3 linked regions of the Nothobranchius furzeri genome follow. The protein of the gene in region 1 interacts with the protein of each later gene in a biochemical or structural test. Links are inferred from orthologs where the notes say so. Each region holds a gene or a part of one and is shown in the gene's direction. Other genes may lie near its edges.

Evidence for each region.
Region 2: the proteins of ikbkg (region 1) and ripk1l form a complex in vitro, tested with the Homo sapiens proteins (4 studies listed by BioGRID). The link is inferred for Nothobranchius furzeri from reciprocal best matches to the Homo sapiens genes IKBKG and RIPK1.
Region 3: the proteins of ikbkg (region 1) and rab11a are reported together in a solved structure, tested with the Homo sapiens proteins (2 studies listed by BioGRID, with this or other methods). The link is inferred for Nothobranchius furzeri from reciprocal best matches to the Homo sapiens genes IKBKG and RAB11A.

What each region holds. Positions count from the first base shown.
Region 1 is NC_091755.1:44,545,138-44,552,143, forward strand, and holds part of ikbkg (NF-kappa-B essential modulator), read left to right. Parts: coding exon 1-137; intron 138-2,850; coding exon 2,851-3,116; intron 3,117-3,867; coding exon 3,868-3,942; intron 3,943-4,221; coding exon 4,222-4,428; intron 4,429-4,688; coding exon 4,689-4,750; intron 4,751-5,190; coding exon 5,191-5,238; intron 5,239-5,417; coding exon 5,418-5,520; intron 5,521-5,593; coding exon 5,594-5,709; intron 5,710-5,796; coding exon 5,797-5,949; intron 5,950-6,035; coding exon 6,036-6,309; intron 6,310-7,006. UniProt on the Homo sapiens protein: Regulatory subunit of the IKK core complex which phosphorylates inhibitors of NF-kappa-B thus leading to the dissociation of the inhibitor/NF-kappa-B complex and ultimately the degradation of the inhibitor.
Region 2 is NC_091751.1:51,503,047-51,510,152, forward strand, and holds the start of ripk1l (receptor-interacting serine/threonine-protein kinase 1), read left to right. Parts: upstream 1-2,785; 5' UTR 2,786-2,995; coding exon 2,996-3,174; intron 3,175-3,965; coding exon 3,966-4,122; intron 4,123-4,266; coding exon 4,267-4,404; intron 4,405-4,482; coding exon 4,483-4,714; intron 4,715-4,787; coding exon 4,788-4,937; intron 4,938-5,150; coding exon 5,151-5,227; intron 5,228-5,342; coding exon 5,343-5,427; intron 5,428-5,540; coding exon 5,541-6,146; intron 6,147-6,251; coding exon 6,252-6,398; intron 6,399-7,106. UniProt on the Homo sapiens protein: Serine-threonine kinase which is a key regulator of TNF-mediated apoptosis, necroptosis and inflammatory pathways.
Region 3 is NC_091749.1:66,766,291-66,773,396, reverse strand, and holds the start of rab11a (ras-related protein Rab-11A), read left to right. Parts: upstream 1-2,610; 5' UTR 2,611-2,735; coding exon 2,736-2,775; intron 2,776-6,252; coding exon 6,253-6,448; intron 6,449-6,737; coding exon 6,738-6,931; intron 6,932-7,106. Other genes in the region: SH2 domain-containing protein 7, read left to right, coding at 782-1,453. UniProt on the Homo sapiens protein: The small GTPases Rab are key regulators of intracellular membrane trafficking, from the formation of transport vesicles to their fusion with membranes.

The sequences.
Region 1 (7,006 bases):
GGTGCAGCCGCAGCCTGATGGTCCGATGCAGTGGGACATGTCAGGAGAGGACTGCGGGGGGGTCCTCAGGGTCCCACCAGAGTTCGCTGGTAATGAAGTGGTGACCAGATTGTTGTGTGACAACCAGCAGCTTCGAGGTACCTAAAAACACACGACGGTCACGCTTGTGTGTATTACCAGATGCTCAGCGGGGCTTTTAGGTTTCCGTGTGTCTGATTTAGCATTTTCAGAAGTCGTTTAAGTTTAGAGTTATCGAGGTAAAAGAACAAAGTAAATTCAAACAGTAATTTCAGCCTTTACTGTAACGGTGATTGGATGCAGGAGCGGTGTCCACGACAGGCTGAGTTTATCAGGATCAACACATGCTGCTTTTATGCAGTTCCAGACTTTCCTAGATGACAATCCAATCCTTGAGTTTTTCAGTCTGCTTCTTGTTGTCGGCACAGCTCTGAATCTGCTCTTCTAGCTGTCCGTAGCAACATTTCTTTAGCTGCTGATGCTAAATCGGCAGCGGTTTTGGTTCTACTAGCCCTCTCAGCAGCCTCGACACAATCAACCACCCACTTCCTATCAGAATAGTATGTTGGCATTTGAGGTAGGAGTCAGTGAATCCTGCCTTGCTCAGCTTCAGAGGGTTCTGAGTGCTGCAGCTCGCCTTTTAAGTGGCAATCAAAGGTTTTCCCTCATTTTAGCCTCCCTGCACTGGCTGCTTGTTCATTTTAGGATTGATTTTAAAATGATTTTATTTGCTTTTAAGGGCTTAAATGGCCCGGCCCCTCCCTATCTGTCTGAGCTACTGCATCGCTACACGCCCGCTCGTTCGCTCAGGTCAGCTGATCACAGGAGTAGCTACTCCTCAACACGGATCAGTCACCCACACATTCACACACTGGTGGTGATGAGCTACGATGTAGCCACAGCTGCCCTGGGGCGCACTGACAGAGGTGAGGCTGCCGAGCACAGGCGCCACCGGTTCCTCCGACCACCACCAGCAGGCAAGGGGGGTTTAGTGTCTTGCCCAAGGACACAACAGCAGCATTCTCTGGTCAGAGTCGGGATCAAGATGGTGAGATTTCATCCATCATGACGTGTCAGAAAGACAGTCTGAGATGTGTGTGGAAATTGTGGGCTCATCCGGCGGGAATGACGGATAGAGCTGGGTGTCGTCAGCATAGTAGTGGTAGGAGAAGCCATGTGATTGAATGATCTCACCCAGTGAGGTGGTGTATATGGCAAAGAGGTGCTAGTACAGAGCCCTGGGGGACTCCTGTGGCAACATGGTGAACAGCAGAAGACTGTCCTAGCCACGATACACTGAATGATGGTCCTGTCAGGTACGATTCAAACCAGGAGTGTGCTTTCCCTGTGATGCCCACGCTAGAGGGTGTGGACTAAAGGAAGCCATGGTTCACAGTGTCCGATGCAGCCGATTGGTCAAGCAGGATAAGTACTGAGGATTTGGCAGTCGCTGTTAGTCACTGCTAACAGAGCCGTTTCAGTGGAGTGGCCATCTTTTAACCCGGGTTGGTAGAAGAAGGGTCAAGCAGACAGTTTTGTGACAGGTGTTCTAAGATCGGCTTGAAGGCCGCCCTTTCAATGATTTTAGACAGGAATGGGAGGAGAGATAGCTCGGTAGTTCTCCACATGATCTGGAGGAAGGGAAGGTCTTTTAGCAGCAGTTTAACCTGAGCGTGCTTGAGAGAGGTGGGAAGTGAGGTCAGTGAAGCGTTCATCACACGTGTGACTGCAGCAGCTACTGTAGGAGCAACAGATCGGAGCAGCTTTGTCGGAATGGGGTCGAGTGGGCCTGTCGTAGGGCCTAACCCTTGGACACACTTTTCTCAGAGGATGTCCAAATCTGTCTGCCTGTTTAACCGAAGACGGGAAACACGACTGTGAAGTTGTCTAGACCACACCGACATGGCTGTCTGAAAACCTTACTAATGAAAAGACTCCCGTTTATTTTGTCGCTGGGCTGCACTGACTTTCAACTCCCTCCAAATATTTCTGTGGGGTTGAGATCTGGAGACTGGCCAAGCCCCTCCTTCGTTACCCGGACGGTGTTTGGAATCACGGTCATGCTGGAAGACCCAGCCGCGTTTCATCTTCAGTGCCCTTGCTGGTGGAAGGAGGTTTTCACTCCAGACATGACCATACACCGCCCCCTTCTGTCCTTTACACGGGTCAGTCGTCCGGGTCCCTGTGCAGACAAACAGCCCAAAGCATTATGATTCCACCCCATGCTTTACAGTAGATGTGGTGTTCTTCAGCATTCTTTCTCCTCCAAACACGCCGAGTAGAGTTCTTACCGAAACGTTCTAATGTGGTTTCATCAGACCACCTGACATTCTCCCAGTCCTCTTCTGGACCATCCAGATGCTCTCGAGCAGACTTCAGCTGGGCCTGCACGTGTACTGGCTTCAGCAGGGGGACACGTCCCTGGTGGCCTTGTTCACTAGGTCCCCCGTCTAGTTCTGGGATTTAACTCTCCGTTATTGTGATTGTTCTGACCCCACGGGGGGAGATCTTGCATGGAGCCCCTGATGGAGGGAGATTATCAGTGGTCTTGTTTGTCTTCCACTTTCTAATAGTTGCTCTCGCAGGTGATTTCTTCACCAAGCTGCCGCGTACCTGTTGCAGATACCAGAGTTGGGACCCACAGTTTGGTTCTGACGTCCTTTGACAGCTCTTTGGTCTTAGCCATAGTGGTCTGGAGTGTGACTGAGGTTGTGGACAGGTGTCTTTACACTGGTAACCAGTTCTAACAGGTGCCATTTGTACAGGTAACGGGTGGAGGACAGAGGAAGTTTTAATAATTGTTCTGTTTCCTTTCATCCATCTGTTCCTCAGAGGCTCTGCGGCGGAGTAACCAGGCCCTGCGTCAGCGCTGTGAGGAGATGGAGGGATGGCAGCGTAAAACCAGGGAGGAGCGGGAGTTTCTCAGCCTTCGTTTCCAGGAGGCCCGGGCCCTGGTGGAGAGACTGGCCCAGGAGAACCACTCCTTACAGAGCATGATGAACGGACCGGCTTCCTCCTCTAACCTCTCCGGCAGCTCCAGCCAGACTGAAGACCTACAGGGACGCCCGTCCAGAAACGGGCTGGTGGACGGACCACAGGTTAGCACGCTCCAGCGAGAGAGAGGAAGCTGTAAGAAAACGTTAAAACCTTCAGCCCGACTCCCTCTGAGTCGTTGAGTAAAGTGCTTTAGCGCACGTCCAAGTGTCTTTTTGTGGGAGCTGGTCCTCAAAGCGTCTCAGGCCCTTTTCAGCAGCTCATCTCAGGGCTAGCTCATTTAACGGCTAGCTCGTCTCAGGGCTAGCTCGTCTCGGGGCTAGCTCGTCTCGGGGCTAGCTCGTCTCGGGGCTAGCTCGTCTCGGGGCTAGCTCGTCTTCTGGCTAGCTCATCGAGCTCCGAGGCTCTAAAACGCTGAAAGTGAAGACGGACGTGAAGCTCGCCGAAGACGAGTTGTAATCTTCTCTCACAAAATAACTTTTGCTGCTGTTGGAAAAGCAGCCTTGCCTAACCGTGACCGTGTGTTGGCATCAGAATGTGTTTAAAAGGAACGGACCGTCCGTGGTACGTAACAAACGGGATTAGAAACAGCGTGTTAGCCTCGTTCACTTGCATTCATTGTGTCTTCATTCTGGGGACCGTGGTCCAGAAGTAGAAGGGTTAGGGTTAGGCTACCGACGGGGAGATGTGGTTGTTCAGTCAGGATGGAGACAGTAAAAACTGCAGCTGTCAACAGAAATACAGCAAACGTTTGTAATCAGTACGCTGCTCTTGAGTATCAGGATGCTTCTGTGAGGCTGAAGCAGCCGATGGACTTGGTGCTCTTCTAATCGGAAGTCTGGTTTATGTTTCCAGACTCTGGACCAGTGGGAGAGGAAACGGGTCGATGAATCAGAACAGCAGACTCAGACCACCCCGCTCCGCAGCCTGGTGAGCTGGTCCCGTGTGCCGTAGCCCCGCCCACTCTCTGACATCCCCACCTCATATTATGGTCTGTAGAATAATGTCAGACTGCTTCAAACAGCAGCAAACATGAATATTATTTAAAACACAGTTTTATGACTTGACTCAGCTAAATAAACGAGGTCCCGCCCATAAAACAGACCGACGGGACGATGGCGGTAGGACCACGAGTGAAATGGAATGGGTCCTGAACCAGTGAAATGGGCTGAAGTTGGTTTTAGATGACATGTGTGCTTCCCCCTTCAGCCTGTGGAGGGCGCCAACGAGTTCCTGCAGCTGCTGAAGAGCCACAAAGAGAAAACAGAGGAAGGGACGAGAGAACTGAAGAGGAAGACCGAAGAGCTGGAGAGGAGAAATGAGGAGCTGATGAAGAAGATGGCGGAGGGAGAGGAAGACAAAGAGCAAATGCGGCGTTGCATCGACCATCTTCGATCCAAACTGCTGCAGGCGCAGGTGACGCTGTGATCTGAGCATGCTCAGACTTCTCTACGTAGTTTTATTTATGTTTTACATTACGCTGTAACTCCGCTCCGGTCCTGGAGGTCCGGTATCCGGCACGTTTTGGCTTTAACTCTGCTCCAGCACAGCCCCTGATGAGCTGCTGCACAGGTGAATCAGGGAAACCACTAAAACGTGCTGCATACCGGACCTCCAGGACTGGAGTTGAATACCCCTGTTCTAGCACCTCCCCTATGTGTGCGTGTGTTTTACAGGCTAGCGGCGGCGCCGAGGAAACCGTTCTGCTTCGCTCTGAGGCGCAGCATTCCTCCGACTGGTACGACACCGTCCACCGTCCCGCGTCCCAAACCCGCTCTGACCCGAACTCTAGCTGCTGGATAACTCTGATGCAGATTACAGATGCTAGCATGCTACTTCTCTCTTCTGCTTAACTAAAACCTTTAAAACTCCTTCTCCTCCTCCTCCTCTTCCTCCTCCTTTTCCTCCTCCTCTTCCTCCTCCTCTTCCTCCCCCTCCTCCTCTTCCTCCTCCTCTTCCTCCCCCTCCTCCTCCTCCTCTTCCTCCTCCTCTTCCTCCCCCTCCTCCTCTTCCTCCTCCTCTTCCTCCCCCTCTTCCTCCTCCTTTTCCTCTTCCTCCTCCTCTTCCTCCTCCTCTTCCTCCTCCTCCTCCTCTTCCTCCTCCTCCTCCTCCTCCTTTTCCTCCTCCTCTTCCTCCCCCCCCCCCCTCCTCCTCCGTCTCTTTTTGTCCCTTTTCCAGTTTGGGCTTGGCTAAGCTCACAGAGCAGCTCCAGGCCACTCAGGGCAGGTGAGCCCGCAGCTCCTCTTCCTCTCGCTGTCTTCGTGCCGTCCTGCTCGTCGTTCTGTGTTTTGCTGTTGCTCGTCCATCACGCGTGCTGCAGATTGTTCTGGTTGATGAACCGCTCTAATGACAGTCGCTTGAGTGTGTCGCTGCAGCTGGAAGTGACGCACGAGTTTCCTCTGCAGGTACCGGGAGTTGGAGGAGAAGCTGGACTACCTGCAGAAGAGCTCGGCCCAGCGAGACAGAACCGAAGCTCTGCTCAAGCAGAAGGACAAGGACTGTGCCCAGGTAGGACAGTCTGAGTGTGGAGCTTCAGCTGGCGGCTCTGGTTTGGTGGTTTAAGCTGCGTCTGCTTTTGCAGCTCTCCAAAGACTGTGAGACTCTGAAGGTGCAGGTAACCTCCCTGTTAGGAGAACTGAACGAGAGGCAGAGCTGCCTGGAGAAAAGCGATCACGAGCGCAAAATTCTGGAGGAGAAGTGAGCAGCTGCATCGTGTCAGCATCCCTGTAAACACGGAGCCTTCTCTGATGCTTGGGCTGTGGGTTTTGCTCCTGTTTGCTCCAGGCTGGTCAGCAAGGTGAAGTCCTTGCAGGCAGCAGAGCGGGAGCTGGAGCAGCTGAAGAAGCAGCACCATGTGGCCAAGGACAAGCTGCTGCTGCAGGTCCAGAGCTTGGAGCAGGCGCTGAAGACGGAGAGACACGTCGTGACCGAGGAGAGGTGGCTTCCCGCTGCGATAGCGACATTCCCATCAGAAAGGGCGTGTGTGTGGAGAAGCTGAGCGTTTCTGTTTCCTGTCCCCTCAGGAAGAAGCTGACGCAGCTGCAGCACGCCTACACCTGCTTGTTTAGAGACTACGATGCCAAACTGAAGAATGAGGTGAATAAAGTCGCAGACACACGCCCAGCGTTGCTTCTGTTGTGCCGACTCTGGTCTCTCCTACAGGAGGGAGATCTCAGCAGCCGACTGGAGGAGGCGGAGCGAGCGCTGGCGCTCAAGCAGGACACCATCGATAAACTGAAGGAGGAGGTGGAGCAGCAGAAAGGCTCGCTAGAAACCGTCCCTGTCCTCACTGCACAGGTCGGGTCACTCTCTCTCCTCCTGTCTGCACCGCTTTACTTCACCAGGCTCCGCCCTGGTGTCTACACACTCCAGCTGTTTCAGGTCCTTACTCTGGCTTTACAGGACGGAAGGGACACCGTCACCATTGGTTTTAAAGTCACAGATTAAAGGGATCCTGTGCAGGTCAGCTTGCCTTTAGCACCCCCTAGTGCCTGAAACGCGTCAGTGTAACAGCTGGAACGTCTCCTCAGCCTTCGTTAGCGTCTGCAGGAGCGGTTCCTCGCTAAAGCCAACCACTCAGCTGAGCTGGTGGTCTAAAACGTGCCGAAGCAGCTGCAGCGCCAGCAGCTCAGCTCTACTGCACCAGCAGCCCGGATCGACGTTCTGAGGTGATGAGTGACGTTTTGGGCGGTGGGGTGGGAGAGACATTCGTTAGGCCTGTGAGGGTCGTTTAGCGCATACTGGCTCAAGGAGATGAGGTGAAGGTGAAAAGGTTGCTCTCTGCTGCGGCGCCTGCAGTTGTGCTAAATGCTGCAGCCCGTCTGCCAGCGGGACTCGGCGCTCTGAGCACATCACCCCCTTCTGCCTGCTGCTTTTAGGATGGATTTAAATGTTTAAACGGACAGGCACCTCCTTACCTACCAGAGATTCTGAACTAGCATGGTCCTACGAGACGTTTGAGGCCTTTAGAGTCCCAGGACTCGTCTAGTGACCC
Region 2 (7,106 bases), on another chromosome or scaffold:
CAGTGAACCCTACTCCCTGGTTTAATGACAGCCTTCGCAGCCCAACGCGCCAATGCAGAAAAATTGAGTGATTGTGGAAGAAAACCCATCTCCACGTCCATCTGCTGCACTTAAAGGATCTTCTGACATCCTTTAACTCTGCAGTCAGAGACGCTAGGGTTTCCTATTTTTCCAACCTGGTGTCCCAGAGCAAATGGAACCCCAAGGTGCTGTTTAACACCATCAGCAGTATCATCTCTCCTGCCTCTCCTACAGCCTCCATCCACTCTGTGGCAGACTGTGAGAACTTTCTTTCTTTGTGGACAAAGTCAAGAAGGTTAGATCTAGCATCTCTCCTTCAGCCTTAACGCCGCCTCTCCCGACTCCAACCAGGCCCATCATCCTAGATAGCTTTGCTCCTGTTTCTTTGCCTGAGTTAACCAAACTTGTTAAGTCTATGAAGACCTCTGCATGCCCCCTCAACATCTTACCCTCATCTTTGTTTAAAAGTGCTTTTCAGTCCATCGGTCCCAACGTGCTCTCTATAATTAATGCTTCTCTGGTTACTGATCAGGCCCCTGCTTACTTTAAGAACGCTTTAATCCACCCGCTTCTTAAAAAAACGAGTCTCGACCCCTCTCTCCATAGGAGCTTCATACCCATCTCTAAACTTCCGTTCATCTCCAAGATCTTGGAAAAGGTTGTGGCTAAACAGCTCACAGCTGCTCTTGATGAACATAACATCTATGATTACTTACAGTCAGGTTTTCATAGAGCTCATTCTACTGAAACAGCTCTTCTTAGGGTCTCTAATGACCTTCTGACTCACAGTGATGCAGAGGACTGTTCTGTTCTGGTCCTGCTGGACCTGACTGCAACCTTTGACACCGTTGGCCATCACCTGCTACTGGAGAGGCTGAGAGACTGGGTAGGCCTATCAGGAATTGCTCTGGAGTGGTTCTCCTCTTATCTCTCTGAGCGCTCCTTTTCTGTGGCCGTCTCCAAGTTTCGGTCCTCCACCACCTCCCTTACCCATGGTGTCCCACAAGGGTCTGTGCTGGGGCCTCTGCTCTTCCTCCTCTATCTGCTTCGTCTTAAGCACATCCTGAGCTCCTTCAAAGGAATCTCCTACCATCTTTATGCAGATGACATCCAACTGTACATCTCCTTTAAGCTCCATGAGCTGCTGCTGTTACACACCTGCTTAGACTCTATCAAAACCTGGATGGCTGGGAGCTTTCTACAGCTGAATGAAGATAAGACTGAGATCCTTATCTGTGCCCCAGACAAGCTGGTTCCCAAAGTCAGAGACTCTCTTGGTCAGCTTGCTTCTCACACCAAACCTTCCGTCAGGAATCTTGGCGTGACCTTTGACCCAGCTCTCACCCTGCATTCTCATGTAAGTTCTTGTTCGCTCTTCCTTCTTCCATCTCAGGAACATTGCTAAGCTGAGTCCCATTCTGTCCCGCTCTGAACTTGAGACTGTTCTCCACACCTTCATCTCCTCACGCTTAGACTACTGCAACTCTCTTTTCACGTGCCTGAGCAAAACCTCCCTGAACCGTCTACAGGTGGTTCAGAATGCCTGTGCTCAGCTTCTGACCAAGTCCTCCAAACACACCCACATCACCTCGCTTCATTGGCTGCCAGTCAACTTCAGGGTTCATTTCAAGATCCTGGTTCTGGTCTATAGGGTCATGGACAAGCACCTTCTTACATTGGTGATCTTCTTAGTCCCTACACCCCCAGCAGGTCCCTGAAGTCCAGTAATCAAAGCCTACTGGTTGTGCAGCGCACCAGGCTAAAGACCAAAGGTGACAGATCATTTGCTGCTGTGGCCCCCAGACTCTGGAACTCTCTCCCCCTGAGCCTGAGATCAGTGGACTCAGTGGACTCCTTTAAAAAACAGCTGAAGACTCACCTGTTCAAGCTGGCTTTTGTACGACCTTTTTCACCACTCTCTCTTTATTCTGCTCTCCCCACCTATTCCACCTTCCTCAGGATCCACTGATTTCCCACTTTCCTATTCACTCTCTCTCTTTCTTAACATTTTTTAAATCGCAATTGTCTATTTTTTGCTCATTTTAAATGTATTTGTTACCATTTTCTAAATTCTTTTTCATGCTTTTACATTTTTTGTTTTTGTGAAGCGCCTTGTGACTTTTATCTTGAGAGGCATTATAGAAATTATATTTTCTTCTTCTTGTTCTTCTTCAAAGATGTGATAGATCATCTTAAGAAATGTTCTTTATAAAAGTGGCGATTTTACAATAAAGTTGACAATAACTTTTGATTTTGTACCTCATTATCAAACTTCTGAAAACAAAATAAATATAAAAAAATGTGTCTGTGGTTCTACTTGAAGACCAGTTGAGTAAAATTCAGTTAGCAAATTTGGCCACTAGGTGGAGGCACCGTTACATGTAAATATGAATTTCAGACGAATTAATTTATACTAAATGAAGACACATATTTAAGTTATATAACATAGTTTTTTTCAACTGCATGTATTAGAGTTTCGTTTTTAATGCCTTTTTTAGTTATTTCAAACGCTTCGCAAACATGAATCTATTAACCAGCCTGGTGTATTAATCTGTTATCAACTTGTAAGGCTGTTTGTAGTCTTAAGCATTAGTTTCGCTCATCGGTTTGTTTCGCTTTATTACTAGTAGGACGTCGAGGAAACACCGGAAATACTGAGAAAGAATATTTAAGTGAGTTTTAGGATAACTTATTGACACTTTTAATTTTATATTTGTAATTGGAATGCATAATGAGGTTACTTTACGTCGTGGTTAATGAGTTTTTAAGCTATCATTAAGCTGCTTTATGATGCGTCTTGGCATGTCTTGCTAACTCAACTCGGGGCTGTGTTTTGAAAGTTACGGGTGGTTAATTCATCGGGTCAGTGCTTTAGTTTGAACGCTGCGTTTACTTACACACACATATATATAGTAGTGTAGCTAAATGTTAACTACATTGTTATGAGTGTAAACGAGCAAAGTCGGAAGTTTTTATGTCATTTGTATCAGAAATGGCAACCGCGCCTGAAACCTCGCTTCAGATGAGCTCGTCGGATCTCATCAAAAAGAAGCCGCTGGACTACGGAGGATTTGGAGAAGTTTATTTGTGCTACCATGTCACCCTCGGCCATGTGGCGCTGAAGACTGTGTACACAGGTCCTCTACGAAGCGAGTAAGTTATTATGTTTGTTACAGAGGGAGAACATTCCCGGGTATTCCCCTCCTTGTAACTTAAATCATGTGTCCAGATTGCTGGTTACAGACAGCTGTGGCTGGACTTTTTAATTTAGCATTAAGGGAGTAGGAAGTAATACCCTGATGTGAAAATAGACAACCGATGGTAAAATAAAGTGCACTGTTTTCCTTTTATTATCACGAATCTTTGTCAGGGTCAGATATTTTATTCCACAAGAGGATGCCTCCCATCTATTTCGTAGATCAGACCTGCACAGGTGCATGTTTTGCAAAGTCTTTTCAGCATCTGAGACACATCAAAGCTTCTAAATGCAACAATCTCAAATTCTAAACTGAATTTAAGTAAATCTTTTGACAGTGATCTTATACTAATCTTCTCTGCTTCTCTCTGCGTGTGCAAGTATGAGAGTCTCAAACTCAAAGTTTGTGAAGCATCTATAATCATTCAAGAAAAGTGTGATTGTGTGACTTTTACTGAACTGTGCAGTTTGTTTACCAACAAAGAAAACAATGTCAGTATTAGAATTCTTAATTTACAACTCAGAAATGTGTGTGACATTATCAACTGTTATCAAACAATTAAATAAAAATAAAACTTTACGTATTTTTGCTATGATGAATAAAAATAAATTTAGATCAAACAGGACATTTACCACAGCATATCAGATGATCATGCTTGTTCTTCTTGTTGTTTCTATTTTATTATATATATATATATATATATATATATATATATATATATATATATATATACACCATACTCATCAGAGACAGTAAAAGGTCGCTGCTGGAGGAAGGGAATATCATGGCAAGCCTCAATCATGAGCGTGTGGTAAAGCTGCTGGGTGTGATCATGGAGGATAGCGACTGCTCTCTCGTTATGGAGCTCCTGCCCAGAGGCAACCTGCTGGTCGTGCTGAAGAAGGTCAGTCACTCTAAAAATGCCCACTTGGCTTAAAAAAGCATTTTTTTTCAACTGTTTAATAGTGAAACCTGTGTTAGGCTTCAATAGATAAGGATGTGCTTTTATAAACTGTAATATTAATACACTAAATGATTGTTTTTGTAGGTCAATGTGCCGATGTCTGTCAAGGGAAGGATCATCTTAGAGATTTTGGATGGGATGGTGTACCTCACAGAGAGGTCCATCGTCCACAAGGACATCAAGCCTGAAAACATCTTAGTGGATAATGATTTTCACATCAAGGTACACGATAATCTAACACCTATTACTTTTTATTTTATTTACACTCATTATAAAAGCTTTATTCTCTGCGTTATTTAGATCGCCGACCTCGGCCTAGCAACCTGCAAGATGTGGAGCAAGCTCACGAAACAGGAGTCTCAAAGAAGGAGTCGTAACGAGCCATCGGCTGGACTGAGAGGTGCTGGGACGCTGAGCTACATGGCGCCAGAGCACCTGAAGAGCATCCATGCCCGCTCTACTGAGAAGTCTGACGTGTACAGCTTTGCCATCGTGGTCTGGGTCATTCTCACTGGGCAAGAACCATATGAAAGTGAGCTTGAAAACATAAACCTTGTTTAATTTTATTTTTGTGCAAACATTAAAACAATCTGTCTCATTTCCAGACGCCAGGAGTGAAGAACACATGAGCCAGTGTGTCATCAACGGTGACCGACCAGCAGATCATCTCATTCCTGAAGACACGCCTGAAGAGATCATTCAGCTCATGAAGAGGTGCTGGGATCACAATCGTGAACAAAGACCAACATTTGAAGGTTTGGCATTCAGAATTGCATTTCTTAGGAAAAAGAGATGGTATCATTTTTCTTAGATTTTTTCCCCCCATGCCTAACAGGAACACATCATGTTGAGTCTCACTCAGACTGAAACTCAGATTATTATTATTATTATTATCATTATTATTATATTATTAATGTTAGATGGATCTTTTCATCCTCCCCTCTCATCTGTTTGCTCCTTTCTTGCAGAGGCTTATCGCTCTTTCCTTCCTTTGTACATGGAAAAGCTTGAACCATATGTAGAGAAAGATGTTTGCACATTAAGGGTGAGTATAGTACGGTATAATTGTGGTGGTTTTGGGAGGAACTCACTAACCCACCAAGTGATTTTAAAAGCTAAATACTGATTTTAAGTAAGGATTCAATGTTATTTTGTTACAGGAAACATACAATGGCCCAGAAGAACTGGTTGAAAGCATGAAATCATTATCAGTGACCAACGAATGTAGTCTGGCATGTGAACACGGTAGGTCCGACTCTTTACTTTGATGCTCTGTTTTACGTTTAATGTTTGAAATTTTGCAGGATGCCTAAACCCTTGAGCACCATTTCTGATTTAAGATTTTCTGATGTTTTTAGACCACCCAGCTCCTTTGATGAGCTCAGATAAAAGTATATCCATGATACCAGTTGAGGCCAGTATCGAGGACCTGCATAACATCCAGTACGACCCATACAGAGAGTTTATTCAAGCGGACGCAAGAGAAATGACCAACCGACCAGAGCTGGAGGAGAAACTGGACCGGGAGCTTCAGTACCACCAATATGGCAGCTACAACATGCACCCTGAAGCTTCCAACTACTTTCTCAAAAATCCCTCAAACCCTTTCTTGCCTAACTATGGCAGTGTCACAGATAACATTGCAAGAGGGCCAGCACAGGAAGTGTCCTCTGTTCATTCATGGACTAAAGGAGAAATGGTGCAGCCCACCAGCCCGGAGGAGGGTTTTGATCGCCTCAATTCTGGACTCAACCATTCCATTAACTCCTCCTCGGCTTATGAACCCCATCTGCACATGTCTGCTAGCACACCCTCTCTGCCACAGTTTAACCAGCATCATCCACCCCCCCAGTTTGACCGCCAGAAGTCCTGCTTAACTTATCCGGTGTCTGACACCTGTGTCCCTGATGTAACCACGGGGTGTTATCTGAACAATACAAAGTATGGCTCACAACAGGACTCAGGTACATGGAAATGTGTTTTTAGCATTCATCAGTTGTTTACTCTGACTGTTATGCAATAGAATGAAAAATTTGTTGGTTGTGTGTCTTTGTTGTTGTTTTTTCCAGCTTCCCTTTTTATTCAGAACGCCAGCGGGATCCAGATTGGAAGCAACAACACGATGAGCATCAGGAGTCATGGGGCTTCTAGTTTGTCTTCCCGGTTTAATAATGGGTCCAGTTCCTCCTCGATCCAAGAAAGCATTTTTAAATGCGGTAAACATTTATCATGTTTTATTAATGTAACACTGAGTACGGTTCAGCCACCCAAGTTAAAAAAATAACAGATTAGCATCGAGACTGAATTATTAGCATATTCAGTCTCGATATGCTAAGCTAAGTGATAAAAAGGAATTATTTTCTTACTTATCTCAGTTATTAGTGACATTTTTCTATTCCCCAAAGGCCAGTGTTGAATACTGTCATTTCTTGTTTCATCTGAGCAAAAGTAAATATTTTGTCTAATTCATATTTTATATGACCAAAATGGGCATATTGAGTATTTTTTCAAAAGAGATACTCTTGCATTTTCTGCCAGTCACTGCCACCTCGTTGTACATCTTAGCAGCCTTCGTGGTTTTCACAATTTGTCTTAAAGGTCTTGTTCACTGAGAAACCGTATAATAATTTTTGAAATATGACTGGTCACTCTGAGTTTCACATTCAATTAAATTCAGTTTCAAATCAGTTTGTTTATATAGCGCCAAATCACGGCTAACGTGTTCTCAAGGCATTTATCAAAGTAAACATCCCATGCATGCTGAACGAGAAGCCTTCTACCCCATCGCCTGCATTAGCTGCAGAAAGGAAATGAATGGTGAAAAGGTCGGGTCAGAAAAAGCCAGTCTCTTCTATGTCAGAGGGAAAATTAGCATTCATGGCCCCGCCCACCTTTGCTTGTTACCACAGAAGGCTGTATTGATT
Region 3 (7,106 bases), on another chromosome or scaffold:
CTTAAACCTGATGCGATGGGAGACAGGGAGCCAATGCAAGGCACGTAGGACTGGTGTAATATGTTCAGACCTCCTGGTACATGTTAACAACCGAGCTGCAGAGTTCTAAACTGCCTGGAGGCGTGCTATTGGAGCTTGCCCAAGCCCCGCATATAGCGAGTTGCAATAATCCAGCCTGCAGGTAACAAAGGCATGGATTACAGTTTCCAAATGGCTACGTGACAGAAATGGCTTAATCTTCATTATCTGCCAGAGATGAAAATAGCGAGATCTCACGATTCCATTTACTTGAGAATCAAATCTGAGCTCTGCGTCCATGTTTCCCATCATTCATTATTAGACATGTTATTAAAACACTTTGGATTTAAACATATTGTCCATTCAACAAAATATGATTATGAAAACTTGTAAACTTATGTAGTCATTGGAGCCAGGGAAGATAAACTTCATTCAACTCTTGTCGTGATTGGCGCTATATAAATAAACTTGAATTGAATTCAAAGAGGATAGATAAGAAGTCCTGCATCCTCTGCAGCCATGAGGACTCGTGACGTACATAGACTTCATGTCGGCACCACGGTGTCAGATAGACCTGTATGAAGAAGTTTGGTCTGTAAGTTAAAAGTTCATTTCTGGTCATTTAGATGAAATATTTGGCCATTTGGTACGCTGCAAAGAGCAAACATGAAAACGGCTCACTTTACCTAAACATCAGATACCTTTTAAAAATCTTCTATACCTGTGTTTCTGACCTGACCCTAATCCCCACGTTGTGTTCCAGGTTCTGCCTCCAGTACCAAAGAGGGGAATGCCTCCAGCCTTCAGCCTGAGTGGATCTCTGCCTGAAACGACACCACATCCTAGTGAAACCCAGTTTGAGTCCAACAAAGCTCAGAGACTCAGAACCAACCCAACTCAAAAGATCAATGGGGATTTGTTTAGACCTTTAGAATTGGAATGTCCCGATCTGACCCAGGTGGAGACCAGGAGCCAGTCTCTGCCTTACCTGGGCACCAAAGTGGAGGAGGAGGAGGCATACTCCAACCAGTTAAGCAGCCTCTCCCTTCAAGCACCTTCTTCTCCAAAAAGGGTCACCTGTCAAACCTACTCCCTCCACGCCCCCGAAGGAGATCTGAGAAGTTTCATGTCAGAGCAGCAGATCAGAAACCAGGACCAGCTGAGGTCTAACCCTCTGTACGAGCCCTCCAGGGTACCTGGAGAAAGTGCAGCTCAGCGGCGGGGTGTCATGTACGCTGAGGTTTCTAAGGGTTCAGCACCAACTACGCAGACAGAAGACACCTATGAGCTGGTCCCTGGAGAGGCCACTGAAGTCCAAAGCAACACCTACGAGTCTCTGGAGGACATGAAGACTAAGAAACCCAAAAGCACCTGGGGCAAAAATGTAAGATGCAACGTCATGTGCTGGTTTTTATTACAGAGAGTAAATAAATAATCTGACGTTTTTTTTTAAATAATTTTGTCTCTACAGAACATAAAATGGAGGAACTTCTTAAAGAAATAAATATATCTTGTGGAGTTTCTCAAGTTCGGGGCTTCCTCCTGACGTCAGGAGACTTCATTCAGAATCTCTAAGAGATGAAAATAAAAACAGGCCTCCTGGAGTGAGATTCATACCTGCATGATCAATTATGGGGTGAAAAGAGGGGGATACTGACCACCACAAATTACAGCAGGCCCAGAAAATCCTCCCTGTTATCTTATAGCAGGGGTGGTCCCGATAGCCAGCATGATTTAGTTGTTTCCCTGCTTCAACACACCTGGTTGTAATCAGCAGGTGATTAACAGGCTTTTACGGAGCCTGAGGAGCTTCTGAACAGGTGATTCAACCACTGAATTATGTAGAGTATAGAGGAACAACGAAAACATGGATACCGCCCTTTGGAGACCAGGATTGAGAACCAATGTCTTAGAAGATTAAACTCTTGTGGATCAAATGACATTATCCTACATGTTCACATGTATAGGCTATGCTGGGCTACTATAGTGAGCTTAATATCTGTATTGTTTATTTTGGGACTGAAGGACATGGGACACTAGCCCCAGAAGCCCTTCAACCCCTCCATCCTAGAAGTGTTGAGATTTAGTTATGCAAAATGGTAAATGGCCTGTGGCGCCTTCTAGGATTCTAAAACCCCCCAAGGCACTTTACAACGAACCAGCCATTCACCCATGCACACACACATTCACATGCTGGTGATGGTGAGCTACAATGTAGCCACAGCTGCCCTGCTACAGCGAGATGTGCAGGTCACTTTAACTAACTGAAGAGATAAACACTCAGGTTAGCATCATTTTTATACTTTATTCATAGCCTAATTATACTGTTATTAATGAATGTATTGATGCCTAAAAATAAATAACTTTTAAGTTTGAAATCACTTTATTTATTTGACACTTGGTGAGCATACAGTATTCTACATTTAATGAAAAAATAATGTATTTATGAGTTTTAAGGCCTCCAAATTAATGTCTTCCTCAATATGCGCGTTCCCGTAACAATGCATGCAAATGTCTCGGCTGGCATTTTCGGTACACACACCTCCAGGTTGCGCTCCGTCCTGTGGCCGCTGGGGGGCAGAGTATCCGCTGCATTCCGCTGTCAGGATTCCAGCGAAGAAGAAACTATCTCCCATCTAATTCCCGTCGGACAGTAAAATCTCGTCTTTTCTGTTTTAACAAAATCATTTTTGGACCCGCTCTCCAGTGTTGGGACGATGGGCACCAGAGATGATGAATACGACTATTTATTCAAAGGTAAAGCGGTGTTTGTTGTTATTTGGCAGGCTAGGCGGTGGAGCTAACGGAACCGCCGTCAGCCTTTTGTGTTCGGGTCTCAACAAACTTCTCTGACGTGAGTCAGCGCGTTGAATCGGTTTTCCGAACTCCCGACGAACCATGTCTGACTCGTTCGGGTAGGAAATTGTTCATCCGGTGCTTGTTGTTCGTGCTAAAGCGCATCTTGGTTCGGGATAGCGGTTAGCTCGGGTTAGCCTGCCGACAGCCAGCGGGACACACCTAGACCTAACATGATCAGATCCTCCTGATGCGATCCGGACCGATCTGCCAGCAGCACCGTTAACGGGCCCGAGACGACGTTTAACAGCAAATTCAGAGCCCGAGGCAGAACCGGGCTGGTCCAGCTGAGGTGAAACTGGACGAAAAACTCTTAACTGCTTTATTGATCAGGTTATTAATATCAGATTATTGATCAGGTTGTTCATCTGTGGGTTATTTATATTCCACTCTCACGTGAGCTTCCGGTTTCGTATTCTCACATTTCTTCCACTAACCTCCTGTTTTCCCGAGAGTTTTAACTTCATTTATCAGTTTATAAAAACACCAAATCCTGAAAGGAGCAGAATCACCAAAGAGAACATAAAATAATCAAGTATCATTAAAATAACTCCTGAATAAGAAGTAAAACGGTTGTATTTGTCTTTTTCAACCCCCCCCCCAAGCGATTTATTTTAGTGCATCTTAGTTAAAATTGAAATATTCTGCTTAAAACTGTCAATGTTGTCAGGTAAAAACTCTGCACTGCATTCAAATTTAAATCTGCCATCGCTATTGGCTGAGAAGTACACTATGATGTCAGCTGGTACATTATGAGATCACAATGTTGTTGGCCTTGTTCGAGTTGAGCAGCGCCTCGCTTGGAAAACAGATGAAAGCAGACGGATGCAGCAGGGGGAGTGGCTGAAAGCCGGCGTTTAATGCCTGATTCATGCTCCTCCATCTGCGTCAGTGCTGAGACACGCAACGTCAGAGAGCTCCGCGAGGACGGACGGAGTCGAGCTCTCTTTTCTAAACATCCGTCAGTCGAGACGGAGAACGCAAGCTTGTGATTGGTCAGGACGCCGCTGTTGTCTACAGCGCCGCCATTGCGCCCTCAAAAACATAAAGAGAGCCGAGGATAACTAGTGGCAGACACGGAGCAGCTTGAAGAATACCTCGCGAAAAAACTCTAAAATATGAATGTTTAATTCCCCAGTGACAGGAGGAGTGAAAAGATGCGCAGCAAGCGTTTTATTAGTGGATGGAAATGACAGGAAACGTGGGTTTAGAGGTGGCGAGCGCATGAAGAGGTGGAGGAGAATGAGAGACAAATTTGTCTGTTAAAAAGTCTCTTATATACAAAAAAACATAATATAAACACACCATCTTGGACCGGATGCATGACAGGATACCACAGAACAGCCTACGTCCTCTGTTGTCCTGCTGGGGAATTGCTTTGCAACACTCTCCAGGAGACGGAGAAGTATGAGAGCAAAACGCTTCCGTCAATCCGTGCGTGTCTGTCCTTTGCGGAGCTGACGGAGAAGCATGAACCAGGCTTAAGATGATCAAATTTCCCTACATGTAGCTCGCAGGTGATGATGGATAAAGATATCACATTCATTCATACTTGTTTAATTTGTAATTAAAGTTCTGGTGCTTGTTAGCAACTGAAACACATCCTGACAATATCATGTAATGTTGACATGTGCATATGAAGTAATAATAAGTAAAGGTTAGCAGCTGTAGAGTTTTAGTGTGCTCATAGGAAATGTGACAATAAAAACACAAATCACATTTCTCTTTATGGCCTATATAGTTGTCATCTTAGATCAGGTGAGAGCGAGGCGTTTCCTGTCACGCCCTAGGTTTTGCAACCGGCGGAGAGCAACTGCAGCGCCTTGCTCCAAAATCTGCGGCCGCCTTGATCTCACGAGGTTATCGTTGCCTACGTAGGCATGACATCAGAGCAAGTCGGCGTCAAGTCAGACACAAATCTAACCAGCATGCACTGCGCGCCGATCACCGGTGATCGAATCTGCGCAGAACTGGATCATCTTGAACACGGCCAATGTGAGCCTGTGTGTGTGTGTGTTAGCGGCTCTGCCCTTTCGGTCTGCCAGGCAGCAGCATTTTTTAAACAGGAAATGGGAGTGGAGTGAGACTCTGGTAGGGGTGACTTGCTCTTTAACATGGCACCTGTCAGTGGACGGGGCCAAGGGGGTGGGACTCCTAACATCCTGATAAAACGATCCCGCTCCTATGTATTTTAGACCAGATTTTTATGGTTATATGTTACAAAGCAACAACTGGGAATTATTTCATTCATTTTCAACAACATTTTGATGGATATTTCCTGAAATTTATGGTAAAAACTTCAAATTGTCTCTTTAAAAAATATTGAGTAAAAAACGCCCAGAGACAAATAAAAAAATATAAATAAATTACGGGTGCACCAATTGCAGTTTTTGGCTGATCACTGTTCACCAATCTTGAAAAAAATAAAAACAGACTTGCTGATACTGATTTTTGTCTCAACTAAAAGCAGATTATGTCAATGTTTCAATTTCCTTTTATTGTGAAAACCAACATGAATACTCATGAAACAATACCATTTTCAACTGGACATGAGGTAATGCTCTCAAGTAGGGATGCAATGATACCACTTTTTTCCAAAACGATACGATGTCGATACTTGGATCTGAGTACTCCCCGATCCCGATTACCAATACCGATACTTCTACCAAACAAAAAAAATGCGATGATTTGGAATACAGATTTGATTTTCAACAGGAAAAGTTTGTGAAGTAGATAAAAAGTAAAATATATGAATGGAAATCATCACAAAACTAAAATATTAGGTGAACAGAAATGACAAGTTACAGGGAAGCCATTTTCAAGCAACTGCATTGGTATCAGTTCCTGGTATCGGCTAACTTTTACCAATACTGGTATCGGTATTGGTACCAGTATCGTATCGGTGCATCCCTACTTTCAAGCATAAATGAACGTCTTTAGCATTGCTGTTTGAACAACAAAATCATATTTGTTCCTTTAGACTTTCATTTTTCAAAATTTGAAAACAAAACTTTTGTACCCGTTTTCACACGCATGTTCAAAAATTATTCTATAGCAATGATTGGCTTGAAAAGAACCCGAGATTGGGGCCGATAGATTGGTGCACCCCTAAAATAAATGGCTATAATAGAAACTTTTGTACCAGAGCCAGAAAGGTCTAGAACCGCTCCCGGGTTCTGGATGCTTGATGTTGTTCTAAAGGTTCTTTAAGGATAGTGGGTCAGGGAGCACCAATAATCCTGCATCATAAATAAAATAGACATCCATTAGTTTCTCCTCATTCTTGTTACTTGGACTTTAAACTGTTTTTATCTTTATTTCTGCGGTTTTCTAGATTCAGGATGTCTGATGTGTTTCCTTTGTCCTGCTTTGCCTCAGTGGTCCTCATCGGTGATTCGGGTGTAGGAAAGAGTAACCTGCTGTCTCGCTTCACTCGTAACGAGTTCAACCTGGAGAGTAAGAGCACCATCGGGGTGGAGTTCGCCACGCGTAGCATCCAGGTGGACGGCAAGACGGTGAAGGCTCAGATTTGGGACACAGCTGGACAAGAACGTTACCGGGCCATCACATCAGCGTGAGTACAGAACCACAGGTCTGGTTGGGTTGGACCAGCACTGATGTCACACGGAATCGGTTTTAATTTACTATGACAGGATTGGTTATGTTTTGCTGCCTTTACCCCTAATTCCAGAATCTCACTGTGGGTGACTGGCCGGAGACACAAACATGCAAAAATATGCACATTTTCAGATTAAACTGGTCCGTAGACAAGTTTTAGACCTGACCAGGTCACGAGACCCTGGGCTTAAAGTCTGATCTCCTTCCTGGTTGGAAGCTGCTGATGTTTGGTGCGTGTGCTGCAGGTATTACCGAGGGGCGGTGGGCGCTCTCCTGGTCTACGACATCGCCAAACACCTAACCTACGAGAACGTGGAGCGCTGGCTAAAGGAGCTGAGAGATCACGCCGACAGTAACATCGTCATCATGCTGGTCGGCAACAAGAGCGACCTGCGCCACCTGAGGGCCGTTCCCACCGACGAGGCCCGAGCGTTCGCTGGTCAGTCTCGCTTCCATCCCCTTTAGGCTAGAGACGTGTAAAACATCCAAACTTTGAGTTGGGTCTGCAACCTGTGGCCAGAAACAACATGGAAATTCAATTCATAGAACCAGCCAATCAGATCCATCCATTTGAGTTGATATTTTATCGATCAAAATCCAGGAAGTCGGAAGCG